4 linked regions of the Alligator mississippiensis genome follow. The protein of the gene in region 2 binds, or shares a complex with, the protein of the main gene of each other region. Links are inferred from orthologs where the notes say so. Each region holds a gene or a part of one and is shown on either strand. Other genes may lie near its edges.

Region 1 (6,853 bases), on a different chromosome or scaffold from region 2:
AGCGCTGGAGTCTGCCGTCGATGGCCAGTCGAGGCTTCTTTCAGTGTGGTGTTATCTTCAAGAAGGGGGTTGCCGGCTGGTCCTTCTGGCTGGACGGGTCGGGTGCTGGTCAAGTGGGAGATCAAGAGGGCGCCCCTGAGGGTCACTTTTCACTGCTTTTTATTTGTCCTTGGCAGACTTTGGTGATTCCCCAGTTTTCAGGTTTGCCCAATCCAGGGGTCATTGACCCTCGTGGGACTTCCCCCCTTGGTGGCTACTGGATGGCATCTGTCAGCCCCAGGGGTTGTCCGCATGTACGTGCAGGTTTGGAAGTCCATTGATGAATTTTGAATAGGGCTCTGGGAGCGGTCGATTTGGAGATATTCAGCCCAAAAGTTGGTCCCCGGCGTTGATTAACTCAGGCCAGGGCTTCTAGCCCTTGAACAGTGAGGTTTAGAGATTTCCCGGTTGTTACATTGGCTTCTATTGATTTCTTCCGTTGGTTGATCTGCAGTTTCCCAGGTGTTAATTGCTGCCTGCTACAGTGTTACACATTCAATCACTGATTCACTCCCTCTTTCAGGGGCCAGCCTGATACAGGGAAGCCAAAGTTTGACTCCTGCCCTTATTAACATTGCTACTAAACACATTTATAGTTGAAAGTTGAAAGGTGAGCAGTATAAAATATAAGCTACAAATGCCATTGCACACAAATAGATAAAAATACCAAAATACACGGGGAGATACAAAATGCACACATACAATTTTTAAAACACAATTCCTTATCTTAAAGTGAAAGAAAGAGGAAGGAAGAAAAGGTAGAAGAGGACAAACTTATTCAAAGAGGGGAGAGCAACTGCAGGCAAGAGGAAAAGGGGGCTTTCTGCTACAGTGCTACACTGCTGGTTCTAGCCCTAGAGGACCATCTGCCAGCCTTGGAGAACCAGAGCCCAGGGCTGTTTCTATATTTTATATTAAGAAGATACAGAAATAGTCCTGGAAAAAGGAACCTGGTAAACTTGGACTCACTGCAGGTGTATGTCTAAACTATGAGGCCACAGTCTTGCTCCCTCCCTTTCTGTACTCCCATTTCTGGCCCAATGGATCCTCAATTATTTTTCTGCACATCAGCATGAGGGATGGTGCCCTTCTATTCCCAGAATAGCCTATGGTCTGTTGTTTGGGTATAGTCCTGAGAGACAGGAGATGAGCTTAGTCCTTTGAAGGAAAGGACGTAAGTGTTGACCTTCAGCAGGTTTTAGGACTATGCATCTGAGTGGATGAAGACACCGGAGGACTAAGATTTAATACTTGCTCCTGTTCTCATCTTTTCCTATTGGGAAGCTCTAGGTTACTGTGTATGGCATCTGTATTTTAATACCTCTTTTGAGCTGCCTATCTCTCCCCTTGTTATTCACATGAAGCCCATGTACTTCCCCATAAAGGTATGGGGACCAGGCTCCTATGAATTAGGTACTGCAGCCTATGTTCTATATGGGCTCTGGTCCGTATTAGTTCAGTCCCCATTTTGCAAAACTAGGTTAATAATTCTTGCCTACCTTATAGGACATGGCTCAGCAGCCTATGGCCTGCAGGCCACATCCAGCCTGTGGGTCATTTGATCCAGCTTGTGGCTGTGGAGCATTAGCAGTAGTTGCTTCCCCTGTCATGGGGAAAAGCAGTGGTGGCACCTCGGTCCCAACTGGATCACTGGCCTATAGCCTAAGCAGGCTACCAACTGCTGTTACAGATTTTTGTTAGGATAAAAGTACATGAAAGATTTCTAGGTGTTAGTATACTGTGGCATTGTGGGCCATGTACATTCTTCCCAATGGAAATCTCATGGGATTCTGACTCCTACAGGGCACTTAATTCTTGGCCGTCTCAAAAAAATTATTTTTATTAAAAGAACGACAGGTACAAAAACAGAGAGGGAAATGTCATGACACAAAAATGCCTTTAGCTTCTTAACTGTAACACATTATAATTAATTCCAATCCTTGTCTAAGGTTTAGTGGCAGCTCTTAAGCTTTTTATAATAAGAGCTTTAAGAGGCTGAGCATTATATAAAGCTCAGGCTGCAAATATATTTGTGCAGTACAGACTGGCATCTTTTCCCATGTTTCTGATTGGAAGGAGAACATAACAGGCCCTCTGATTTTAGAAAAACAAGTTTCTCACCTACTACTGAAGTGCCAGGACCTCTTTGTACATCTATGGTTTTTTTCCCTCTCTCCCTCAAGTAGTTATGAAATTCAATAAAAGAAATACTCATCACTGTCATTTTAATCATTTTCATCACTGTCTGAAAAAGGGAGGACCCCAAACTACCGTAAATGGGAGCTAGACAAAGCTGTTTAATTTGCATCAAAGTAGCTCTATTTATCCAGTAAGGCCTTAACTGAAGGGTATGGCAATAATACTAATGCAAAACAGAAGAATCCAGCTTGAATGCTTACACAGACAAGTACTAAAAAGTTAAGAAGTAACTATGCAATTGCAATGTTGAAGGGCCCTATCTACATTACACATATTATGCAATTTACTGGTTAATTGTGCAATTCATTTAGACCGGCTACAGGTGTAAAGTAACTATCACTCCATAAAAAACATCCTTCCCTCTATAAAGTTAGAGCTTGAGGCAGGAGATGAGCTTATTTCTTTGAAGAAAAGGGTGTAGGTGCTAACCTTCAGCAGGTTTTAAGACTACACCCCCAGTAGGTGAAGACATTGTGTCATAACATTTCCCCTCACTGTTTTGTACCTTTCCTTCTGCAGTCATGAAAGTGTTCCCATGGCGGAGCAGCCCCTGAGGAAGCAGGAGGGTGCATGTAGTGGGGAATACTGCATGACAGCTATGCCCCCTCAGCTGAGAGCCCCACAGCTCCCAGGCCTCCCAGCTGAGGGGGTGCCCCACACTGCCGTGGCAGTGTCCCGTGCACTGCACCAGCGCTCTCAGGGGGTGCACATGCATCCCCATGCACCCCCTATGTGTCGCCACTGGATGGCGTTAAGGTGTGACTGGCAATAGGGTGTGAGTGGACCGGATGCTGGGTCCCAGACACACCTCTTGCCTGGCGACTGTGTGGGTCATACATCAGATCCCATCACACCTTTCCCTAGACATCTGAAGGGGCCCAAATAGTGTTGCCAGGTGTATGATAATTTCAACTCTCCTACGATGTATGATCAGTAATAATAAAAATGGTTCAAAATGTACAGTCATTTTTGAGAAAGCTAATTGAAGCAGCGTATGCAAAAGGTAAGTCACTCTCAGGGAGTCTTACCAACTTTTGGTTTTGCTTTCAGTACTTTCATATTACTGCTTGCCTCAAAATAAAGAGATGCTTCAACTTTGATGACCCAGTTCTCACCCATTCACGGGCAGTGAACAATAGAAAGTAAAGTAAGAAAGAAGACTTATTTGCATACTGTTTCAGTGTACAATAGTTTTTCAGCAAATACGATAATTTTGGGCTTCCAATAAAATAATTTCAGGGGTGTAGGCTGTAGCTGTGTCGCTCTGAGGACATAAGCAGACAAGGCTCTGGGTAAATCCGGTATCTTTCATTAAAGCCACTGAAACTGTTGGACGAATTCTCCCTGGCAAGCCAGCCCCGCCCGCACGCGGACACGTGACGTCAGCACCAGCCTCTGGCAGGAGGGAAAACCCAGTGCGGCACAGCGCAGCCAATTCCCCGGGATCACGCATGCGCAGTAACACCCCCGCGCTTTCTTGCCGAGGCGCAGGTTCGTTTCAGCGCATGCGTATTCAAAACCTTCCCCCTCCCCCCCGCCCCGGTCCTCCAACGCGCCCAGTGTCGCGAGAACAGAGCACAGTTGGCGTCAGCTCCGTTTCCAGAGCGCCGCACTTCCTTCCGTCACCGGAAGTCATTTGCTGCGGGCTGTCTCGCGGGAGCCTGTAGCCGGGGCCGGTGCGGGGCGCGGGAGCTGCCGCCATGACGTCCGCCTTGGAGAACTACATCAACCGTATCCCTCCGGGCCTCGCTCGTGTGGCGTCATGGGGGGGGGAGCAGGCGGGTGCGTGCGGGACGCGGGGCAGCCGGGCCCTGGAGGCAGCGGGTCCGCGCTTGGAGCCCCCATCCGGAGCAGGCTGCGGCGAGGGCGGCGGTGCTCGCGGACCGCCCGCCTCCTGCATCCTCTCGAGCGGAGCCCAGCACAAGGCCGCGCGGGCTGGGGCTCTGTGACCCGACTAGCGGGTCTCACACCTTGCACACAGCCGGACTGAGCTGCCCGCGGGGCCTGTGCTGCCTGCCGCACCCACACAGGCAGCTGGGGGCCCTGTCTGGACCAGCCCCAGGGTCAGGCTGATAGGGCTGCTAGCAGTACATGTCTCCTGCCAGCCCCACACACCATGTGCCAGGCCAGCCCCGGAGTGGGGCGCGCGCTGCTGCGTGGGGGCTGTGGCAGGCGAGCTCTGCGCACAAGCTCTGGCCCGGCCTGAGCCCTCCAGCAGACAGGCCCAGCAGTCCTCATCCTGCACATGGGAGTAGATGAGTTTGACACCTCTAGTTTGGAACATGAAATGGCTTTGCATGGTTTCAAGGCCAAACATTTGAAGGGGGGGGCATTATGTATGCAATGTATTGGATTTTTTTAAGTGTTTCCTTAATGGGCCCGCTAGGCACTGTTGCTGTAATTACCTCGGATGGAAGGATGATAGTGGTGAGACATTTCTTCTTCTCAACATCATGTTGCGTCTCCTCAAAAGTCTTTAGCAACCCAACAGGCAGCACTTAGGATGTAAACGTCAACAGTCAAACCCTGACAGTGTGTGCAGGACCACCAAAAGCGTGTGATATTAAGTGGGGTTGACAGTAGCAGGAAGCGTACACCAGGTGGCAGCAATTGAAGGAGTTCACAAGATGCAGCAAGTTATAAAGACCCATTTCTGTTCTAGAGTCGCACGTTGCACTAGGGGCCACAAAGCCTGTCTACTTCTATCTGTTCATTTTATGAAGGGCTGTGCCCCAACTCTAAATAGAGGGGCCAGGGTTTATAGCCTGCTCCTTTGGTGTATGTTACAGAAGTTCATGACAATACACCTGACACATTTTCTTATCTAACATAAGATATGAAAGAAACACCACAAACACAATCTGTTAAAAGTTAAATAATGATGAGCTGAAGGTAAAAGAGGCTCTATAACTGTGCTCGCAAGTTGAAAAGTAGCTTCAGCCCCTCTGTTCCATCCTCCATTGCTCTCGTAATAAAAGCCTCAATAATAGAGTTGAGTGTGATATGAACAAGAGTGATTGAATATAGTTTATTGGAAGAGATCCCTTTCATTATTGCAGCTTGTGTGCTGTGCCTTATCACCTGAGGGTTTAGCACTTTTTAGCCTGTTAATTCCCCTCTTCTGATAAACTTGTAAAAGCAAATATTTTCTCTTGGCTTCTTATAAAGTTGGCCTGCGGAATTCTGGTATGTACTGTGTATATTGTTGCATCCATTCCCATTTATAGTGAGAAGGAACTTACTCTACCAAATTCTGTATTTAAGCATTATGATTATCATTAAACCAATCAAAGACTCAAAGTTTCTATTTGTGTTCTGTTTCTTAAAAGTTCAGTACTTAGCTTGACTGTTAGCTTTTTTCTCCTGAAATTCAGTCTCTTGTAATGACCTAAGACAAATTTGAGGTGTGATAAATTAAAGGTCTAGTTGGTTTGCTTTCAAAATGATGCAATATGATAGTGTTATTCGTCACTGAAATTGATATGCCAAGCATCTATCGTATAACTTGCACAAAATGTTATCCAAATTTAGAGAACATTGTTTTCAGCTTTCTGCCAGGCATTGCAGTGTGGCAGCCATTTTAACATTTTTGAAGTACCTCGATTTATTTTCTTAGTATTAACTATTAGAAATGTTTCTGCTAATTTAAGCACATGTGACTAATCAACAAACTTTTATGAGTTTTCTTGCTTGTAAATATAAGAAAAAGAGATTATATGCTGTCAGTGATATGCTAATAACTCTTTATTTCCTGGTTCAGTACAGCATCCTGATTATTTTGTATAAAGCCATAGTCTGAAACCTTATTATTGAACATCTTCACTTATGAGGAAGCCAAATGTGATTGGCTTGGAGTACTTTCTACCATTACAACTCATGCCCTTATTTTGCCAAGCCTGTTCCCCATCCTTCAAATCCACTCTCAAGACTCAAGCTGTACATTGCTGAGAACTGTCAGGTTCTGTGCCACTTCCTGTTTAGCTATGTTTTCCTCTCATAGCTACTTTGGATTTTGTTTTCCCATGCCCTTAGGCTGGATGCTCCGTGGGGGTGAGGGTATGTGTGTGTACAAAGCCCATACAGACACTGATTCTGATTGATTTTCTTCTCTACTAAAATAATTTAAGAGTTATTGACTGTACTGTGCATCAGATACTTTATAGCAGTAGTGCTCAACTTCTGGCCAATAGGTGAGATCCAGCCCATGTGGCCATATTATCCTGTCTCTGGGTGTCCCCTGAGGTCCGGAAATGTGGTGGCAGGGGAACAGCAGCAGCGTTAATTGTTTCTTCTGTCCTGTCAAATTTCCAGAGCCATGGGGAGCCTTGTGGGCTGGATTGAACTAGCACGCCAGGGGTTACTTTACAGCTGGATTTACCTGCAGACCAGTCCCTTGCTGGATCAGGCCAGAGGACTGACCACTTGCATGGGATGTGGTACACAGAGCAGCTCCATGCCACTTATCTGGCTTGTGGGGTAGGAAGGCTGAACATCACAGCTCTACAGTAACTGCCTGTTTGTATAATACGTGTAGTAAGTGGTGGCTAACCTGTGGTAACTCATTTCTCTTCCATTGAAACTAAATTATTATGGGTTAGTTTCTGCTTACCATGGG
Region 2 (6,930 bases):
ATCTTAATGACCAGAGCAAAAAAAAAAGTAGACTCCCCTATTTTATATGTCAGCAAAGTAGTATACGTATGGGGTCCTACTCGCACATTCGGTGATTGACAGGGTGCCAGGAGTGGGTACAGAGACAAAGCTTATGCTAGAACTACACTGTGGAAGTCACAGGTGCACACTGTGAAGGCAGAAGCAAGTTAGCGGAGCTCAGAAGAGATCAGAGATTTGTACGTGAACCAGACTCATTTGCGGTGCCGGAGAGATGATCAGCCCACTGCTTGGAATCACGCCCTTGTTCGCTGGTTGGGGCCAGGAAGGATCACGCCCCTTCACAGACAGCACCGAACAGCAACGCTTTTACAAACAGGCCTATCATTTTCCCTGGCAGTTTGCATTGGCTACCACGTGAGGCAAAGTCATTACGCTACGCCAAAGCCCTTCCCTCAACACGAGGTCTACACAAGGCTCCAAGCCAGGGCTCCTTTCTCCCAGCCCAGTGCCCCCCTGGCTCACGGGCAGTAACTCACCTTGACAGAGTGCCTGTGAGAGATTGGATTGATCAATGGATCAAAGTAGAAAGCTGGCAAGTCCGGATCTTCTGTTTTGATAAAGACCACATTTGGCGTATGATACCTGCAACACGTGCAAAGTGTTAGCGCGTCTTGCCTGGACAAACTCTCCACACCCCAGGCAGCAGACAGGGCTGTACTTACCAGGTCAGATGCACGTGATGTGGCAGGTTGTTATATAGGTAAGGGAAAGCAATTTTGTACTCTGTCCTGATGGGCTGCCTGATGATGATTTTGTTGATGTCATTGAATTCGTTCCAGTCTTCATCCCTTTGAGAAGAGAGAGGCCATCCGGTGAGAATGCGGAGTGCAGTGCAAGCAAAGGTCAGGGACCAAAACGGCAGGGTCAGCATTTGCAGCGCCCTCGCATTCTACCCCCTCCCCCACTCCAATACCGACGCAGCCTCTAAAGAAACAAGCGCCTACCCACATGCACGACTACCTCGCTGCCAGGAGCCGCCCAACAGCATTTGGCCTGGGACAAATCGCGCAGCACACTGAGGATCCCACTCCCAGACCAGGCAGCGCCCATCTTCCCTCCTGTCCCCAGCTCAGCACTTACTGCAAGTTAATGTCTCGAACAAGAGGCTCAAACTTGGGACCCCCGGGAATAGCCATGTTCAGGGCCTTGGAAGTGAAGAAGGCCTTCAGGTCAAACAGATAGAAGTAGTTGTCATCCACAAGATCTGTCAGCAGCTGATTGGCCAGGCGGTATAAGGTGGACATCATGGGGAGTGTGAACTGCCAGCGCTGGTATGTGGAACCATTCACGTACCTGCAAGGAAAGCACCGCGCCGACCAGTCACCGCCAGGCCAGAAGGCGACCGACCCTTCAAGCGCCTTCTCTGCCCCATCCCACTTACTGCAAACGGGAAAGCGAATCATCTCGCCGTTCCCTCCGCAAAAGGAGGGAAGACTGCGTATTTATTCCAGTCCGCTCCAGACAACGCGCACCTCCACCTGCTACCGTGCAAACTCCCCTCTCTACCCCTATACCCAAGATTTAGATGTTAACGCTTGGGACTGTAGCAAGCAACCTGCCAGACAGCACAACGTGCCAATGCAATTTTCCCCAGGAGGTTTGGCTGGCCAAAGCATAACGCAGCCGGCCCGTTCACAGCAGACAACACTGTCTAAATACCACGCACGAAGTTCTCCCGAAACGCTGCTCTGACTCCAGATTCAGTCCTTCGTGCTTCCCTGGAAGATACGCCGAGTTTCATCTCGTTGCAGACGTCTGGCCAGGAGCAACCTCAAGTGTCCGGGTCCCGCGAGCTCTCCGCAGACGCGGAAGGGCCCAGGACAGCTTCCACGCTCCGGTCCCCCCACCCCGCGCCCCACGCTGCGCACGGCGTCTGCTGCTCTCCTCCCGATGGCCACGTTTCGGCGGCGCCGCACGACGCTTTGCAGTGAAACGCGCCGCCGAGAAAGGGTACTCACTTCCTGTTGTCCTTCAGGGGCTGGTGGTCGTAGAACCAGTCCAGCACGGGGGCGTCTTCCTCCGGGTCCAGCTCCAGCTGAATGGCTTCCAGCGGCTCCACGTCCAGGATGTTGTCGGCGTAGTCGAGAGGCGGCTCCTCGTCGTCGAAGGGGGGGAACCGCATCCTTTTGAAGTGACGCCGGTCCCTCTTCTCGCGTCTCATCATGATCCACATGGACCTGGCACAACCCGACACCATCAGACACGGCCCGCCCCGCCGGCTCGAGCCGCGCCCCAGACCCCCCAGGCCCGAGGGCCGCGGCGGCTCACCCCCACTGCGCGATGTACACGGGCTCGATGACCCACGGGATCTCGTTGACGAAGGAGATGGCGCCCGTGATGTGGTACAGCACCGGCACGTCTCGGATCTGCTCCCACGGCATCGGCATGTTCTCCAGCAGCTTCAGCACGGCGTGCGGCATGTACTTCAGGGCCCTGCGGCACGACCGCTCCGTCACAACCCGCCCGGCCACCCGCACGGTGCCTCCCGCCGCACGGGCGCGCCTCCCGCACGCGGCACCGCGCCGGCCCGGCCCGCCCCGCACGGCGCAGCGCAACATAGCGCAACACGCACCCCAGGTAGACCCGCTTGTCGTGCCGGAACTTCCTGTTGGTCATGTCGCCGTGGTCGCGGATGATCTTGCGCACGTGCTCGGGCGGCATGTCCTCCTTCTGCGCGTCCACGAACCCGAACTTCCTCTTCTCCGCGTAGCGCTTCGCCTGCAGCTGCTGCCACTTGCGGGCTGCGGACACGCGAGACCCGAGTCAGGCCCGCCCCTCCCCCACTGCCCCCCACGCCCCTCCCCCCCGGCCCCGCCCCGCCACGCACCCTTCTCCTGCAGCTTCTCCTCAGACATGTAGTCGGGCAGCGGCGCCAGCGGGCTGGGCACGGGCGCGCAGCCCGCGCGGTACGGGAACACGGCCGCCATGGCCCCGCTCCGCTCCGCTCCGCAATGGCGGCCCGCGCCAGGCACCCGGATGCAGCCAGGGGGCGGGGCAGCGCCTGCACCAATGAGCTCTCGGGTTGCGAGACGGAGAGGAAGGGCAGCCTATCAGAGCACTCGCGCGGGGAGGAGGCGGGCGCCCTGGCCGGAAGAGGAGGGCGTGAGGAGGGGGGGTCGCGCGCTAGGATATACTTCCGGGACAGGCCTGACCCCAGCAGGGCTCGCCCTGATTGGTGGGCGTGAGCGCCCCCCAGCGGCGCGGGTGTCGCCTGCCACGTGCGGCCACGTGCGGCCGGGCGCGAGGAGCCTGGGAGCGGGTGACTCCCGCGGGCGGCGAGGGGAAGGGACGGGGGCCGTGCCCAGGATGCCCCCGTGCGCCCCACGCTCCCCTTGCAGCCACCGGGCTCAGCACCACTGCCATGCCGTCCCCTGGGCCCTGCTCTCCGCAGCGCCTGGCCAGCCTCCAGGGGCGGCGCCGTCCCCGAAACGCAGGCAGGGCCGTGGCGCCGTGCGCAGCTCCGAGCAGCCGTCCCGCGCACGCCCCGCTCACGTCTGTGTGGGTGAAGCCCAGCGAGCGGCTTGCCTGCCGGGCATCTCACACCCGTCGTAATCCGCGTGTCACGAGTCAGCTCAAGCCAGATTATTTCCACACTCCCATGAGTCACCTCCCCGCTCCAGCGCGGCTCCCAGCCCTCTCTGCAGGCCCTCAGGAGCTGCCTGCATCGGGCAAATCCCCAGGTTTTTTATCCCAGCTCTGCTCAAAACAAGCTCTTGGCTTTGTGAACCGGTGCGGGCGTCTGAGCTCGGCCCCCGCCGCGGGGCAAAGCCAGAGCCCGACCCCGAGCGCTCCTCGGAGACCGGCTCGCTCCTGGCGGCCGCGTCTCTGCAGCTGCTCCAGCATGGGGGAATGCACAACTCCAGAGCTCTTGGTTCAGGGACGACACCTTTTATTAGACCAGCTCGCAGGCACCGGGAAGCATTCGAGAGCCCGCGACCCTGGAGGAGGAAGCGACTCAAACGCCTTGGCAAAGGCCGGAGGAGCGCGAGAGCGCAGGGGCGCGCGTCCGGCGGCGGGAGCAGGAGGAGGTGCAGCCCAGGTCGTACGCTCTCACCCCTGCCTGCTGCTCGCTCAGGAGCTACTGCTGTCGGGTCGTCCCGCGCCCGGGGCTCGCTCACACCGTCCCCGACACAGGTGCAGCCCTCCTTCCCCGGCGGCGATGCTGAAAGACACTGGCGATGTCTTCCGTTGGATCTTTTGTCCAGCAAGAGAGAGCACCCCAAAACATCCTGGCTTCTCTCACGTCCTCTGGACGACCCTGGCTCCCACATCCCTCCAGTAGTGCCCAAAGCACTTGCTGTCCCCAGCCAGGAGCTGGACAGACGCTCAGCCAGGGTTGCCGTACAGACGATGCATTTGTCTCGGTTAAGGTCCTGGTCCCCGCAGCTGCTACGTCTCTGATTTACGCCTCCCATTGGCACCTTGTTGCACGTCTCGGCCTCTTGAAGGCTCAGGACAAGCTGGCGGCTGCTTAACCTGGCAGGGGAGATAGCGCGTAGCTGTGTCCAAGACGGCCGTTGTCCTGAACCGCACCACAGGAGGGAGAACTGCTCTTCTGGCGTGGTTCAGCACCCACTGAGGTGCAGCAGCTTTAAGCCCAGTTTACGGGAACGGGAGGTCTCGTCCCTTGCTTGCTCCTGGGGTCTTATGGCTGAGGGCAAGCAAAACTTGGGGGCATCCAAGCCCCAAACCTCTGGGCTTGGGCCTGCAAGTAGGACGCCCGCCAAAGGTTTTGGAAACGTCTGAAGCCCCAGGTGCAGGAGGAGGGTGTGCGGCGGTGCAGCGCCGCTTCCAGTTCTGCGCTCGGATTTGGAATTGGGTTTGGCCGGTTTGGCCTTGGATACAAATTAAATTCAAAACAAAACAAAGCTCCTGGCTCTGGGCTTTGAAGTCGGAGAACCAGAAGCGCTGCTTCTTTCTCTGCAGCTAAGCAGCTTCTGCAAGCAGAGTCAGCAGTCTCGTCCCCCCGGGACCCGCAGGAGAGGCGGCCCCTGCCCGGCCGAGCCTGGCGGGCCTCCTGCGGGCGGGCTCCAGCCCCTTCCCGGCCCACTCCTGCGGCCAACGCGGGGAGCCGGGGGGCGCCCAGCGCGGCACAGCGGCACGAGCCGGCTCCCGCACCCGCACCCGCCCGAGGGGGCTCCGTGTGCCCGGGCCGGCGAGCCCCGCAGCCCCCGCACCTGGGCCAGGCTCCGCTCCGCTCCGCCCCACCCGGCCGAGCTGCGTGCGGGGCCGCTGCTCCGGCTCAGCCCGGGCGACAGCAGCCGGGTATGCCGGGAGCCCGCCCCGCCCCGCCCGCCCCGCCGGGAGCTCCGCACGTGACGGCCCGGGGGGGCGGGCGGCGGGCGCGGTGCAGCCCCGCACCTTGTGCAAGGCGACGCGCCGTGGGCGGCGGCGGCTACAAGTAGCGCGGCCCGCCCCGCCTCGCCCCGCCACCGCCGGGTGCGCTCGGCCGGCCGCGATGGACAGGGCGCCGCAGCCCGGGAGCAGGCGAGTATCCGCAGATGCGGGCGGGGGGCCGAGCCGGGTGTGGCCGGGCCGGGCCGGGCGCGCCCCGCGCTCACCCCGCTCCTCCCCGGGCGCAGCCCCCAGGCAGCCGCCGGCGACACAGACCCGGGCACGGTCACGCAGGAGGTGTGCCGCGAGTGCGACGTGTGCGACGGAGAGTGAGTGCCCCCCCGCGCTGCCCGGCAGGACGGTGGGTGCCCCGGGCCGGGCCGGGCCGGGCTGGGCAGCCCTGGCCGTGCCCGTGCCCGTGCCCGGGGCGCTGCTCAGCGCGCCGCCCTGTGCCCGCAGGCTGCGGGAGGTGGAGGTCGCCGGCTTCCCGGTGCTGCTGGTGCGGAGCGGGACGCAGTTCTGGGCCCTGGGCAGCCGCTGCCCGCACTACGGAGCGCCCCTCTGCAAAGGTGAGGGCAGCCCCACCGCCCCACACGCCGCCCCACAGCCCCGCAGCCCCCGATGGGATCGGGGAGGACGCCCGCGCCTGCCCCCGTACCCCCGCGGGGTTGTGCCCCTGCCCAGCGCAGCAGGCACACGGGAGTCCTGGAGCCAGCTCTGCTCCCACTGCTCACCCTCTGCCCGGGTCTGCCTCGCAGGAGTGCTGAAGGGCAACCGGCTGCGCTGCCCCTGGCACGGCGCCTGCTTTGACATCAAGACCGGGGACATCGAGGAGTACCCGACTCTGGACTGCCTGCCCTGCTTCCAGGTGACTGTGGCTTGGCTGCACCCCGTCGCCGTGCCCGGGCATCGACCCTGTCCCAGCCGAGCCCAGCCCCGGCTGCTTGGGCAGGTGTCCGGACGGGCCCTGCCCAGGCTCTTTGCAGCTATCTGCATTGGCTCCTGTAACCGTGGGGCTTCTCCGCTTCCTGGGGGTCCCTGGACCAGACCCAGGTGCCCATGCTGAAGCCCACGCCAGGGGATGATGCACAAAGCTACCTCCCGTGCAAAGCAAGCCCACGGCCCCAGGGGAATCGGAGGCTGTGCCCTGCTCCCAGTCCGTCGGTACCACTGGGGCTCCAGGTCCTCCTAGCAGAGCCTGCCTGGCCCGTCCCGGCACCGCGCCTCGGCCCACAGGGCCTCTGGCAGCGCCAGTGCAGCGCTGACCTCCCACTCTCCTCCGGTCCCCGCAGGTGAAAGTGGAAGATGGGAAGGTGTTCATTACTGCCAGGAGAAAGGTACCTGCCTCGTCGTCCCCCACCCCCTGCAGCCGCAACCAAGCGTAGGGCGAGGGCCACCGCTTGCCTTCCCTGACCCGCTTTCCTTTAGGACCTGGAGAGCAGCCGGAGGCTGAAGGACATGAGCAAGCGCTGCGGGATCAACCAGACCACGGTGCTGCTGCTGGGCGGAGGTGGGCAGGGCAGGGTGCGCCCGAGTGGGACCCCGGCCTGAGCC
Region 3 (7,122 bases), on a different chromosome or scaffold from region 2:
GGTCACATCTAGTCTAACCCCCTGCCTGAGGCAAGATCAGCACTGTCCAAACCATCCCAGACCCATCCATCATCTAAACTCTCCATAAGACAATGCTGGCACAACACCAGACATCACCTCTGAGCCTTCCAGAGAAAGCAGGGGAGCTGTGGTGGCCAGCATCCTGCTGCTGTAAAGAGTTGTTAATAGATGCTCCAGAAATCCCCGAGGAAGTCTGTGCCTCCACTACAGAGGAAGGGAACCCTTCCCCCCCACTCCATACCAATCTGACTGGGGGAGAAATTACTTCTAGACCCCAAATGCAACTGTGGTCTGAGCATGAATGAAAAGGCAAGATCCTCTAGCCAGGACGCTATGGTTCGAGTCCCAGCAGGAGCACTGGTACAGCCCAGTCGCCATCCCCATGCTGGGCTGCAGCCAACAACCAGTGCCTCTAGAGAAGGCTTAACCACTCCCCCCGCCACCTGTATCATGCCTCTTAGGTGCCTTTTCCCCCCAAGCCCAGCTCCTTCATCCTCTCCTTGCAGGACTTGCTTTCCAAGCCCTCCATATTTGTCACTAGCTCTGGACCCTTTCTCAGATTTCCACATTGTGTTTAAAAAGTGGAAGCCATAATGGCATGCAATCTAGAGTAGAGGCATGATCACCTCCTGCATCTTGCCCCAACCCACCTATTGATGCCTCCCAAAACCACATCCACCTTGTGTGCAGCTGCTTCACACTGCAGGCTCTCAGTTGGGATCCAACCCTAGGTATAGGCAGAGATTTGCTATGGGCAAAAAGAGCCTGTTCCAGCCCCTAGGCCTGGCTGGACCACTGATTGCTACATACGCTGCTTGTGCAAAGCCTTTGCTAAAGCACTGGCTTGATCAGTGCCCCTGACCAATACCTGAAGTCCTGATAAAAGCAACATTAGGCACTTGAGCCAGGCATGGGCTCCTGTCATGGGATGGCTGGACAAGGGGTGGAATAGTTCAGTCCCAGAAGGCTCAGGCTGGGATGGGAACCCATCCAGTAAAGCCCAGAGGCCCATGATCCCTCCAGATATTCGAGAGACCAGTGGAAGGTGACACACCATGTGCATGGATGGCTGTAGAAAAGGAACCAGGGAAAGGATGGGAACTGGCTCAGCCTAGAGGAGTCTGAATAGGGGTGTGCTATGACATGGACAAACATATGTGCACGCCTTGGCTGTCAGATCATGTGTGTGTTAGGGCTGTGCCTTGTGACCAAAAACCTGGCGGGGCCTTGGTGACTGACCGGAACTCACAGTTGTCTCTAAGGTTTCTTCGTGCTGTGCCCCCTGCTCCTCCCAGTCCCTCCCGTGTCTCAGTCCCTCCCCTAAACATACCGTGATATCCTCCAGGGAGGAGTCAATGATCTCGTAGTTGTCAGGCAGGCAGTAGAACTTGAGCGTGTGCAGGTTCAGGAAGACATGGTGGCTGAACTGCACACTGTGGATGTAGGCGTGGGACTTCAGGCCGCGGCCTGCACGTGAAAGGGGCAGTAGTCAAGGCACACACATCTACACGTTTGCATATATACACCTCCACACACAGATGTGTATAAACGGACACACATACACATGTACACACATACATAGACATGCATACACAGGTATGCACATGGATTTTTGTACATATATGCACGTATACAAGTGCACACACATGCACACACAATTACATACACATGTATATATACATATATAGACACATACATGCAAACATGTACATATACATTCCCACACAAACAAGGATTTATGCATGTGTACGTGCACATGTATGCACGTGGATTTATGTATAGGCATGTGCACATGCACACTTGCATGTATATATGCATGTATACATGCACATCCACACGTACATGTATTTGCATTCACAATCACACATGATCATATATGCACACATGTTTGTACATGCAAAGCTAGGCTGTGTGAATGAAGTAGCGCTTTGCTGGAGCGCCCTGGGCACACTGTACAGCAACAGTAGCGTTATGCTTCCCAGCTTTGCTGGCTCCTGAACCGTGAGGCCTGGGGGAAGAGTCAAGACCAGAGGAACCCGCTGCAGGCCCCTGCCACCCGGTCCCCCTGCATGGTGCTGCACAGTCGCATTTGAGCACTCACCCTGGAAGTACTTGCCGCAGACAAGGCAGGCATAGACGTTGATGTGCGACAGGGAGATGGAGCAGAGCTTCTCAAAGTCGAAGTCCAGGACACTCCTGGGAGTGAATGGGGAAGAGGCTGAGTGGGCAGGGCCTGAAGGTGGCCCCAGCGCAGACCTGTCTGAGGCCGCCTCTGGGACCTCCCCCTTGCCGCACCCCGGCTCCCAGCCCTGGGCCGGCAGGAGGCAGATGTTGCCCCTGCTCCAGAGCCTGGGCGGGTGCGTGCACATAGGGGCATGGCGGTCATGGAGCACATGTGGGCACGCCTCTATGCCGAGGCAGACATGTGTGGTACATGCGAGCCTACACACATGTGCATGCCAGTGTGGCCACACATGCACACATGTGCACACGCCCAAGCACCCTGTGCACGTGAGGTCCTGCCCCGCACCTGTTGATGGTGTCTAGGTAGGGGCAGTGGCGGCTGCGCCGGTCCTCGGGGTCAAAGCGTCCGTAGCGCACTGCAGGACACGGACACGCGTCAGCGGCGGAACCCAGGCGTCCTACCTCCCCTCCCCTCCCCCGACCCGGCCCCCCGCGCCCACCGGTGACTTCGGGCTCCGGGTCGGAGTCGGCCTCTGCCTCGCGCTCGCGCTTGATGCGGGGCGGCCCCTCGGCGCGCTCCCGCTCCCCGGCGCGCTCCCGCCGTGCGCGGTCCCGCTCCGATTCGGCCTCGCGCTTCAGGCGCGCGCGGTCGGGCTCGGGCTCCCGCCGGGCGCGGCCCCGGTCGCGCTCCCGCGCCGCGCCCCCCCGCGAGTCCCCGTCAGCCTCGCGCTTGCCCCGCGCCGAGCCCCTTGGGGACGCGCGCAGCTCCCGCTCCCGCTCCCGTTTCACACGGCTCGACATGGCCGCACCCCCAACACAGCCCGCGTTGCCTCTCTGCGCATGCGCCGCAGCGATGACGAGGGTGGAGCTGGGTAGAACCAAGCGCTTACTTCCGCCTTTTTGCGCATGCGCCGACACGCAGAGCCTGTGGGCGTCTGCTTTACTACGGATCCCTGTTTCCATCCGATTCGCATTTCCCCTCTGGTGTCTCTCGTACATGCGCACTCACATCCTAATGATGTTCAGTCAGAGCTGACCCTAACTCCCCCCAGCAGCCTTTCTAAGATTGCGCATGCTCCCTACGGGCTGCCAGGTGGCCGACCGCTGCTCTCCCCGGAGTTCCCTCCTTAAAGACACAGCGCCCCCTTTTTTCCCGTTTTTCCTAGAAGCTGCTCGCCGCCCTCGGGCCGGGACGTCTCTGCTACACCAGGCCCCCCGCCCCGCCCCGCCCCGCCCCCTCGGGGCGCGGCCCTAGCCGCCTGCACAGCCCGAGGGGGACCGAGTCCCCAAACCCACCTGGGGGGGTAACGGGGGGCGGGGCCGGGCGGCGGCCCGATGGAGGCGGCCCCGGAGCCGGAGCCGGAGCTGGAGCTGGAGCGGGGCGGTGGGGGGCGGCCGGGCGGGCGGCTGGACATGAGCCACGGCTTCGTGCGCAGTATCCGCCGCAACCAGATCGCCAGGTGCCGCCCGCCGTGCCCCGCACTCCCCACCTGCCCCCCACCTATCCGTCCCCCGTGCCCCCAGCCCCAGCGCCCCCGGGTTGAGAACCCCTGCCCCGCCCGAGGCTTCTGCCCCCCATGCTGGGGACCGCTGGGAGACACCCGGCCTCATGCCCTGCTGCCCGCAGGGATGACTACGACCGGGAGATGAAGCAAGCCAAGGAGAAGGTGAAGAAGAGGCACACGCCAACCCCCCCGCGGCCCCGCAAGCCCGACCAGCAGGTGTATCACCCCCGGCGGCGAAGTGAGCCCGGCGCCTGGGCTGGGGGGCAGGGGCAGCAGCAGGGGCAGGGGCTGCAGGTCAAGGCTTAGGGGCAGGAGGCTGCCCCTCTGCCCTCACAGGCCCCTCTCTGCCCAGGCCAGCCGGACCCCAGCTACAGCCTGGACTACGAGGGCTCCAGCGAGAGCAGCTCCAGCCCCGAGCCTGACCCTCGGGGCCCCGAGCTGTTCTGCCTCGAGTTCGAAGCCGACAGCGGTGATGTCACAGCCGTCATCGTCCACCAGGTGAGGGGCAGGGTGCCCGGGTAGGCGGGCTGCAGCACCCCAGGACAGCACTAGCGGCCTTAGGTCCTGTCTGCAGTGCCCTGGGGTCCAGCAGGGGTCTCAAGCTCCTGTGGGTGGGAGGGCAGGGGGCAATAGGGTGCACCCCCTGGACAGGTGGGTTGGCACCTGGCTGCACAACCCCCAGGCCCACCAGGAGGTTGGCACTTGGCTGTAGTCCCTGGGGTCTGGCAGGGATGGGAAGGCGGCAACACCATGAACAACTGGTGCCTCCCGAGACTGGGGGAACACCATTTGTCGGCAGCGAGCGGGGACCGTCAGCAGCGACAGTGTCGGTAGCAGGGGGGAGGTTGCGAGTGGGGACTGGTCGCAGCCATGTCGGCAGCAAGGGGGTGGCATGTGCCCCCCCCATACCTGCCTATGCACTGCCTACAGCCACCCCCAGGGGCTTCAGCATGAGCTACCCTCTGCCCCGCAGGCCCCGGCTCATGGGGGCCGCAACCTCTCACCCTGTCTCCCCGCAGGATGACAGCCCTGAGGAGGTGGCGCAGCAGGTGTGCGCCCACAGCCCGCTGGAACCTGTCCTGCGCCAGGCTTTGTGCCAGCGGGTGCGGGAGGAGCTGCACAAGCGCCAGGCCAGGCCTTGAGTGGGCAGCGGGCGCTGGGCCTGAGCCTGTCCCGCAGCCCAGACAATAAACACTGGTGGGAACACAGGAGTCCAGAGCTGTTTTCTCCTAGGAAACTGAGGCAGAGCGGGTGGGACCAGAGGGGTGCTGGCAGGGGGACCCAGGTATCTGGGAGGGGCCAGGCCGTAGGAGGTTGGGGGCAGGTGGAAAGGGGAGATGGTGGGTGTGACATTACAATGAGGTCACAATGATGTCATGAGAGGAACAGGAGTGTGTGGGCAGACAAGGGGTCGGGGAAACGGACGGGCACACACATGCCCCTCCCCCCAGCAAAGAACCCAGGTGTCCGGGCTGGGGGATGGGGGCAGCCGCGCCCGCCCCTTCTTGGCTGGCTCATTATGCAAGCACCGCCCCGTTAAGTGACGTTATGGGACAGCGGCGCTGGGCACGCCGGGAGTTGTAGTCCCATGGAGAGGGCGGCAGGACTCTAGTTCCCGGCATGCCCCGCGCGGGAGGGGGCGGGGCGGGGCCGGCCTGGCCCTTTAAAGGCCCGTGTGGACTCGGCGCGGCCGGGTAAGGGGTGGGGGTCCCGTGACAGGATCCCCGACGCCTGGTTCCCGCCGGGGGTGGGGGCGAACAGCCTAGTGGTCAGAGCAATGAGGGGCCAGGAGCCCGGACGCCTGGGTCCCCTGCCTGGCTGGGGCCCAGCTGTGACCCTGGGGGGAGGAGGGGCTGCTATGACATCATCCGCCCCGTGCCTCAGTTTTCCCTCGTGGGGGTGGCACTCTGGGGGGCCTGCCCACTAACTGCGTCTCCAGTTCCCCCCAGCCGGGCTTGTTCCCGGGGCTCCTTCGTTAGCCACGTGGTTGCAGCAGGGTGGGCACCAACCTAGTCCCTCCGAGTTGGGGGGGGGGGAAGCCAACTGTGCAGCCCCCATTCTCCTCCCCTCTCCCCCGCGAGAACTCAGGCGTCCGGGCCCTTGGGAGCAGTCTGATGGGAGTCCGGGCACCTGGGTCCCTTCCCCAGGGGTGGAGGTGAGAGACCGAGTAGTTAGAGCATAGCTGGGTATCGGGAGCCTGGACACCTGGGTATGCTGCCTGGCTGGGGGGTAGAGGGGCAGGAGCCCAGACGCCTGGTTCTTTGGGGGTCCAGGCCCTTCCAACATCTGTCCAGCAATCTGTTTACCCCCCACCCCCCCGCAGCCTCCAGATGCTTCGGGGCAGAGACGCGGGGCAATAGCCAGTGCCCCCCCCAACCCCCCAGCTCCCCCCTGCCGGCCCTCCCATGACCGCCTGGATCATCCTTCCCATCAGCCTCTCTGCCTTCTCCATCACCGGCATCTGGATTGTGTGAGTGACTCCCAGGGGCCCTTACCAGATCTGGTTGTAACGTCCCCACCCCATGTCCTCGCCTCACCCCGCAGTGCCACCTCCGGCCAGCAGAGGGGGCCTGGGCCTGGGCTCGGGCTCTAATGGAAGGGGGCACTTAGAGGTTGATCCCCACCCCCCAGCTCCCCTCTCTGGGCACAGGCTCTGGGATGGGAGGCAGAGCTCCAGGCCCCACCCCCAACCAGGCATGTCTGGGTCGGGGTTGGATGGGAGGGATTGGAGGGGGTGCAGTGAAGCAGGGGTGGTTGGACAACCCCTCCCCCTCCCGGGGAGGTGTCTTGGGGGAGGGAGGGAGGGGGGGAGGGAAAGACAGCCAGCCAGGAGATGCACATAGAGCCCAGGCATCTGGGAGTGAGGGAGAGACTGACACAAAAGAACACAGACCCAGGTGTCCTAGAAGAGGACAGAAGAGACAGGAAAACGACCCAGGTGTCCGGGGGGGGGGAGGGGATAGATAGGAAAGGACAACAGGACCCTGATGCCTGGCCAGGGACAGGTGGACCGATGGGCAGAAACGTACACACAACTGAGGTGCCCAGGAGTTGGAGACAGATGAATATAAAAGGACTCAGACAACCCAGGTGTCCTGGCAAGGGACAGATAAGACAGACAGACATGAAGACACCCATGGAACCCAGCCATCCAGGAGCAGGACAGATGGACACAAAACCACATACAGAACCCAGGCATCCAGGAGGGGGAGACAGACAGACAAACAGGAAAGGACATATACAACCCAGGTGTCCTGGCAAGGGGCAGGTAGACAGATGAAAACCCATACAAAACCCAGGCATCCAGGAGCGGGACAGATGGACACTTAAATGCATGCAGAACCCAAGCCTCCAGGGAGGGGGAGATAGACAAACACAAAAGGACACAGAACCCAAGTGTCGTGGCAAGGAG
Region 4 (7,470 bases), on a different chromosome or scaffold from region 2:
TTTTACTCCATTTAAGCACATCAGTTACAGAAACTCTTTTCTGTAGCAAACACTAAGGAATATCAACAGTGCTTTCAGCAGGGTAAGAAGAGCTCACTGGTGCCATGAGTAAACTGGTTCAGGTACCCAAGGTAACTTGTTTAACACTAAGTTAGGGATCTCTACACTACACAGTAGCTGGCAGGGTACATACAGCTACCATCTAGGAAAAAAATGCCAAAACAAAAGCCTCCTCTCAACCACAGAAGAACGTACATAGCATTGATACTGGTGAGGTATCCATGCTCAATCACTGACTTTTCCACCAGAAATGCACAGTTCAAGGCTGGCCAATCTTCCTCACCCTTCTAGTCACATACCAAAATCCTAACATGTTCAAGAGCAGAAGGACATAAAACTTTCAAAATGGCATGCCCCAGAGTTAATGATCTTCAGACAATGCCCTAGCTTGAATAATAACTAACTGTCAAATGACTCAGTCAAATATGGAAAAAACAAACAACTGGGGGGAGAAAGGTTTATATTTAATTTTTTCTCTTTCTTCAGGAGTAGTTTTTAGGATAAATTGATAAGCATTGCCTGTGGATCCTAAGCTGTACGCTCCTAATATAGTCATTTAAGAGGTGACTGAAAAATTACTGGACAGTAATATATACACTTTCAAACTGAGGCTTAGGGGTGCGGACAGAGGTAATGTTGAGATGCTTCAATTATCTTTGAAGAGCAAGCCAAACAGGCATGTACTTCTTTTAATGTACTAAAACAAAAATAAAAATGGTGGAACCCTCAATAGTACTTGTTTCCAACAAGATTATTTCCATAAGCACTTTTTACTACAGTGGCATGCTCTGCAGAGCATGACAGGAGATGTCTGGGTTCTCCACCTTCCCACAGTGCTCTACAGGGCATTGTGACAGTGAGCACTTTCTTGAGGATCTTCCCCCGCCTCCCTCCACCACACACACCAGACTCAAGAAGCCTCATGCCCCACCATCCTCCTCCAAATAGGAATTCTGCTTTCCAGAAATCAGTATATATTCTTTTGTTAGAATTTTTCGGCATGTGAAAACAACGAAGTTAAAATAGCCAAGAAAGATATAATACTTACAATTCTGTAACATCCTCTAAAACCATGTCTGAAGTCTAGGATCAAGGAATAAAACTACAGAAAACATAAAGTTATTAAACTGAAGTTTATTTTCATTTCATAACAAAAGCCATGCCTTTTTTATTTCCAACTTCAAGTAGCATATTTGTCAGTGCAAAAATGTTTGGAGGTTGGAAAGAACTTAAAACACATGTAAAGGCATTGAAGAGGCAAACACAAAAATTGATACCCTGAAAATGTTTCATGTAAAGGATACTGACAAAGTCATCAAACCCTAGGAGCGTGCCAACAATTTCTTTATCACTCTTCATCACAATGTGAATACGTGAGCCTATACATTTGTCCACAAGCTCTGCAAATTTAAAAGCATTTGTCATCATATAGAATAAATGGACATCTATTTTTAATGTTCACCTTTTACAGAATGTGAGGATAAACAAGTGCACATTCAAACAGAATGCCAGAAACATTGACAGACCAATACATATAAAAATAGCTTTTGTTTGGATATCCACTGTTATATACACAACACAAGGGCATACCGAGTACTATATAACCCTAGCGAGCCCACTTTGGAATGAAGTTTTAGTAATATTACTATTAATGATAATCAATTTCAACAGTACCCAACATGCTAAGCACTTTCCAGATCCAGCTGCATAGAAATCTAAATAACAATTCACATAGGGTTTATGTTTACATTTAATCTTTACATTTTTTTCTACATCCTATTAACCAGTGATGCTCAACCACCAGCCCATGAGGTAATGTCATCTGGCACATAGGTCTTTGCACAGGCCCCAAAATTTGGAGCAGTAGCAGTGTTAGCAGCCCCTTTCCTACTGCTAAGGTTCCAGACCTGGGAAAAGCCTGGCAAGCTGGATGCTGTGGCTCTGCGTGCAGGGCTGAGCCTGCACACGGCTAGATTAGGCACGTGGGGTCAGGCCAGCCCATGGCCAGAGTGGGTAGACAGGGGTCAGGCTGGCATGCAGCCAGTCCAAAACAACCACCCCACGCAGCATCCGGCCTGGGATGAGGTTGAGGGTCCCAAAGGTTGAGCAGTGCTGCCATTAACAAAGATAGATAAATTAAATAATACATTCTTAGAAGGTATAATCCACATTTAAAAAAATCTTTGGGACAGCAGAATTTTAGCTAGGGAAGAACGGGATCGTTTGGGAGCTCCGTTTTTCCCTCCTGCCTCTGTAAGAGAAGCATATGGGAGGAAACCTTTTACAGGCCAAAATGCCTTTGGACAGACATCTTCCAGAGGGGAGCTGCATCCTTACGTGGCCCCATCTACGCGTTACCTATACTGCACAACTCATGGGTGAAATGTGCAATAAGTGGCCTGGCCACTAGTGCAGAGTAATGAGCACAGCATAAAAAAGTGACCAAGCAGCTGCAGACAGCCAACGGGCCGCTGAAGTAGCACTTCCACACACACAACAACCCTGCGGCCGGTCCAGTGACAGCCAGAGTCCCCACCCCACCCTGCTGCAGCATCGCCCCTCCCACGCGTCACGTAACACCCTCCCCCCCCCCCCAGCCTGCGCACTCCACGTACGACGTACGTCATCATCGTTCCACCCACGCCGGGAGGGAGCCGCGATCGCAGCGCAGTCTCACGTGACTCCCCTCCCCCAGCCGCGTCCCGCAAACGGTCTAACAGTTCTCGCGCTTCGTCCCCTCCTCCAATCCATCCATCCCTGTAGCCAGTACTAGCGCTTCCCACGCACCCAGAGCCCGCGGAAACCAGAGCCTTTGCTTCCTCCCCGCTCCGCTAGACCCTAGCGGAAACCCACTCACCGAGCGGCAGGAGCTGCGACGGGTTAGTCGTCGCGTTGGCCGCCATTTTGGAAGCAGACCTGCTCAATCGCACAGCCTCCAAGGGGAAATAAGCCGAGCGAGATGCGAAGGAGCGAGCTGAATGGCTTGGAGCGCCCCCTCCCCCGCCAGACTCAATCAATCGATGTTGGAGCAATTAAGTAGACCTTTTGCCAAGCCCCTTTCGCATGCTCTGGCCCCAGGGCCACGCAGGGCACTGACCAAGGGAGACTTGCATAGAGGACGCTGCGTCCTTACTTGTGCATGCTCTGCTTTTCAGATCCCCTAAGTCAGCCACTTTGCACAGTCTGGAGGGACCCGTGGCAGCAGGAGGCAATACTTTCTCACTTTGAATTAAGTTTATGGTAGTGCAAAAGGCAGGCAAGTTTCTTTGGGTAGATGCGGCATCTTTTATTAGACCAAGTAGTTAGAAAAAAGTTTTTGGCAAGCTTTCGGTTGCATTCACCCTTCTTCCAGCACAGGGAGTCTATCTATGCTGGACTGAGACTCCAAGAAATGAGAGAAGCTAAAAGTGTGGCTAAAAGTGCAAGAGTGATGTCGTAGCCCGGAGGGTCTGCTAGAAGCAAGGATTTCTTAGAACAATCGCTCTTATTGGATCAGCCAGTTGGGTTAAAATAAAGTTAGACCAGCTTTCAAGACTTGAGGAAGAATATCTTGCGTTTGAAAGCTCGTCTAACTTTATGCCAACTACATAATTGCTCCAGGAAAAGCTATCACCCTAAGAAATTCTTGCCTTTTGCATAATTAAGTTTATAGGCATTTGACTGTGTTCTCTCCTGTCGCTGGGCCTTGATGAGCAACACTGGAAGCGTTAGGTCGGCTGAGCACAAATCATAGATAGTTGCAGTTCTTCTCACCTTGTGCAAACTTTCTGCATCCTGTGAAAGTCTTCAGGGTTAGGCAAGGTGCAGGTAAAAATGCAGTTGGGAGTTTCAGATGCAAACCTATGGACAGTTGTGGGGGTTGGGTTTTTTTGGCTGGATCAGGGAGCAGTGGAGTTAGCAGCCCCCCATAGAACACTGACCAGCCCTTTTTAATACTGTTGTTTTAGGAAAGGCTGTAAATAACCTTCCTAGCTAGCTTTTTAGAACTGCACTACTCACGTCTATGGTCCGACAAAGGGGCTAGAAAAATGACCTAATTGCTGCCTGCTTTGAATGTATTCTGGTCAGCCTGTACAGCCGATAAGTATCCCAGTGAAAATAAAGCCAAATTTACCTCTCTGAACAAAGTGATCCAGAACATACACACACTTACAGTGACACTTAAGCCAGAATGAACTGCAATGATTAGCAGAAAAATCAAGCATCTATAGAAACCACACACTAGTGCTAAGTGAAAATTGCCTTACAGGAGAAGGTCAACCTACGGAGTCTGGGATGGCCTACATTTCTTTTGGAGTGATCAGTCCAAAGAAGATAACAGAACCTGGAGTTTGTTTTACTACTGGATGGACTTTAGTTGCCATAAAGCTGAGAAACATTTGTCGTATAACCAAAGCAATTTCAGAGAAGGGAGAGGCACAACAGGTAGGATCTTTACACAGCAAATATAAAGAGAAATGCAGAAAACAGGATATTGACCTCTACTGTATCTCTGTTGATCTTAAAAACACAGTTAACACTGGCAGCAGAGAAGGCTTACGGACGCTTCTCTTGGATGCCCCAACAAGTTTGCTGTAATAGACAATATTATGATGGGACAATGACAAGCATGATGCCTCCAATCCATTTTCAGTAACAAATGGTGTAAAATAAGGCTGCATCCTCACACCCACAATTTTAATGTCTTAACTGCCAAGCTACTAGCTGTTGCCTGAATTTAATATAGGTATTCAGTTTAGAATGCGGACTGACAGAAAGATAGTTTAATCCCAACTGGATGCAAGCAAAAACAAGTGTGATTGAGGACTCACCCAGGAACTTCTGTTTGTTAGTGACTGACTGTCTTGGTTATTCATTCCTAGAAAGATATACAAGTCATTACGGATCACTTTTCAGTTGTGTGCTCACATTTTGGATTATTAGCCTTAAAAAAGATTGTGTACCAGCTTGTTCCTACATAGGACATGCTATAAACTGAATTAACCAATCTAGGTGATGCACAATCTAGGTGGTGTACAACCTACACCCCTCCAATCCAGGTGATGCACTCTCATGTGAAGTTCACTCAAATGATGATGTTGGCAATCACTTAGAGCTACTGCAGCCTTTGGAAATATACATTAACGCAGTGGTTTTCAACCTTTTTAGACTCAAGGCACTACTTGAAAAATGTCAGCTCTTAGCTTTCACTTCTTTTTTTGACTACAGAAAAATTAAAGAGAAGTTCTTCTGTGGCAAAGAACTCAAAGACCACAACAGGTCAGAATATCTTTGACACGATGGATTCCTATCTGGGGTTTATCTTGTAAAGCATGAATATGTGTTTGCACACCTACCAGTGCTAACATTGTGTTGCACTCCACAGCACCCTTGAAAGGACTTCATGGTACCATGGCTGAGAATCACTTCATTAATGTCTTTAGAATAGGGGATTTATAATTTTATAGACAAAGGAGACATACAAAGGCAATATTCCTGACATTACATTCCTATTCTTGAACAGGAAAACCCATTATCTCACTCATGAGATGAAATGAGGGCTCCTTCAACTACGAAGGAAAATGATAAAGATTTAAACCTTCCAATATCCAAATGGAGATCTTATGTTTGAGAAAACAAGTTGTGATTTTCCAAAATTCTGCAAAACATTTAGACGTGCATCATGTAAAACTTGCTAACTCTTCTCATCTCCCATTTAGGTTCCTGGGCCGGTGGCTTTCTTACCAACCCTAAAAGGAACTAGTAAAAAACTTCAAGGCTTTATTTACCTTGGGGCACAATTTATTGTTCCAGCACAAGCCTCATAAATAGTATCAAAACAAAGCAACTCCCCTGACTAACACAGACTATAGTCTCCATGGCTTTTAAAGCCATAACTATACCATTTCTCTCCTGAACCCACATCTGCTCCTGGGGAAGTTAGTTGTGCCCACTTGTTCCCAGTGGGTCACATCTAATACCTGCAATTAGGCAATATAAAACTGCAAAATAGGGCTGAAGCAAGTCTGCACTCATGCCCTCAAAAAAGCTCAGCATCGCTCATTAGCATTTGCATTGTCTAATTGCAGGCTTTGGGTATCCCCCAGCAGCAGTGACTGACTAAGCTTTACTTCCCAGTCAAGAGAGAAGTGGTATAGACATAACCTTACTGAACAGCTTTCATTCTTCACCTAGCACTAATTCTTGAGTTCACACTCCCCAAGTCTTCTACCAGTTCTTCTGTCTCATCACAAGCTGCTCACAAATCCCAGCGAACCTGGATTTTAGTCACATGGTTATCATGTGACATTTGTGCTTTTATTTTCCTTCACTTGGGGCTAAACCTGACAAGTCACCTTGTCACACCTCTCCTGTAACATCCACACAATTTGTCTAAGGAAGACCCAAATATAAATATCTACACAGTAAATTGGTAACACTGCCATGAGATAAGCAGGATAAATGCAAAAGCATAGTCAAATGTTTTCCAACAGAAAAGCTGCAGAAAGTCACTGGTGCATTAAGCCTTTATCTCAAAAATGGATGCTTGAGACTTCAATGAAAAGAATGTCACACTGCTCATGGAAATGTGTTCCTAATCATATTATTAATGTAAAGCATATCTGTTTCAAGTCTCACTGCAAGTAAAATCAAGTCAGCTGATCCTGATTGTCATTATTACTTTCCCAATGCTGCACTTGCTGACAGTTATCCTGTAATATATTACAATGCAGGTAGGAGAACTATGTTACTAATTTGTGCTTTGTTACTTAGCTACGCGCAGAGGGAGTGAAAAATTTCACAAAGTCAGAGCAGTTTGTGCCTGACATTATTCCACCTGAGTGTATGACAGCTTCCAGACCTCTATTCCTCTTCCACAAGTGCCCATAGCTACATAGGGTGAACCATGGAAAAGTCACAGAGTATGGCAACAATTTGCTTTAAAATACAGCAGCAGGCTTCCTGTTTTATTACACAAGCTGACATCTTGTTCTACAATGCCTTGTTCTTTTTATTGCCTCAGCTAGCAGGAAGGAGAATTTCAAACAATGAAAAAAACCCTCTCTCATAAACAATAATCAGATTTATCCAGGAACCTCACTTAGATGATTCCTTATGACAACCTGCAAACTAGTGAAAACAGTCTCAGACTATACCTCTTCTTTGCTGAACTGAATATGAAAGGTAGTTTCTAGCCCTTCTTTTTGGTTATAGCACATTACTGGAGAAGATAATGGCAGTATTTCATAAATGTTTTTCTTTCCTGGCTTTATTCTAAGCATTATAGAGAACTGTGTGATTGAAAAGACCTAATAAGTAATCATTCACCTACCAGTGTGGAATAGTTCCTTACAGCATGTCTTTTGTTCCCTAAAATATATTTCTTATGTAATGGAACTTTTGTTGAAGCTGATGAATATTATGTAATTG

The links.
Region 1: PRPF8 (region 2) and LSM8 share a complex: the UniProt entries of both Homo sapiens proteins name them as parts of the U4/U6-U5 tri-snRNP complex. The link is inferred for Alligator mississippiensis from reciprocal best matches to the Homo sapiens genes PRPF8 and LSM8.
Region 3: PRPF8 (region 2) and USP39 share a complex: the UniProt entries of both Homo sapiens proteins name them as parts of the U4/U6-U5 tri-snRNP complex. The link is inferred for Alligator mississippiensis from reciprocal best matches to the Homo sapiens genes PRPF8 and USP39.
Region 4: PRPF8 (region 2) and LSM5 share a complex: the UniProt entries of both Homo sapiens proteins name them as parts of the U4/U6-U5 tri-snRNP complex. The link is inferred for Alligator mississippiensis from reciprocal best matches to the Homo sapiens genes PRPF8 and LSM5.

Annotation. Positions count from the first base shown.
Region 1 is NC_081827.1:48,187,889-48,194,741, reverse strand, and holds the start of LSM8 (LSM8 homolog, U6 small nuclear RNA associated), read left to right. Parts: upstream 1-3,839; 5' UTR 3,840-3,938; coding exon 3,939-3,969; intron 3,970-4,624; coding exon 4,625-4,665; intron 4,666-6,853. UniProt on the Homo sapiens protein: Plays a role in pre-mRNA splicing as component of the U4/U6-U5 tri-snRNP complex that is involved in spliceosome assembly, and as component of the precatalytic spliceosome (spliceosome B complex).
Region 2 is NC_081837.1:504,363-511,292, forward strand, and holds the start of PRPF8 (pre-mRNA-processing-splicing factor 8), read right to left. Parts: upstream 3,010-6,930; 5' UTR 2,970-3,009; coding exon 2,870-2,969; intron 2,784-2,869; coding exon 2,615-2,783; intron 2,476-2,614; coding exon 2,311-2,475; intron 2,220-2,310; coding exon 2,001-2,219; intron 1,336-2,000; coding exon 1,123-1,335; intron 831-1,122; coding exon 705-830; intron 625-704; coding exon 519-624; intron 1-518. Other genes in the region: apoptosis-inducing factor 3, read left to right, coding at 5,501-5,529, 5,625-5,705, 5,836-5,945, 6,135-6,244, 6,669-6,713, 6,805-6,886. UniProt on the Homo sapiens protein: Plays a role in pre-mRNA splicing as core component of precatalytic, catalytic and postcatalytic spliceosomal complexes, both of the predominant U2-type spliceosome and the minor U12-type spliceosome.
Region 3 is NC_081830.1:10,641,731-10,648,852, forward strand, and holds the start of USP39 (ubiquitin carboxyl-terminal hydrolase 39), read right to left. Parts: upstream 3,009-7,122; 5' UTR 3,007-3,008; coding exon 2,706-3,006; intron 2,622-2,705; coding exon 2,552-2,621; intron 2,218-2,551; coding exon 2,123-2,217; intron 1,489-2,122; coding exon 1,352-1,488; intron 1-1,351. Other genes in the region: C7H2orf68 (UPF0561 protein C2orf68 homolog), read left to right, coding at 3,541-3,665, 3,833-3,948, 4,063-4,208, 4,730-4,852; TMEM150A (transmembrane protein 150A), read left to right, coding at 6,116-6,180.
Region 4 is NC_081828.1:129,630,425-129,637,894, reverse strand, and holds the start of LSM5 (U6 snRNA-associated Sm-like protein LSm5), read right to left. Parts: upstream 3,019-7,470; 5' UTR 2,964-3,018; coding exon 2,918-2,963; intron 1,461-2,917; coding exon 1,365-1,460; intron 1,137-1,364; coding exon 1,109-1,136; intron 1-1,108. UniProt on the Homo sapiens protein: Plays a role in pre-mRNA splicing as component of the U4/U6-U5 tri-snRNP complex that is involved in spliceosome assembly, and as component of the precatalytic spliceosome (spliceosome B complex).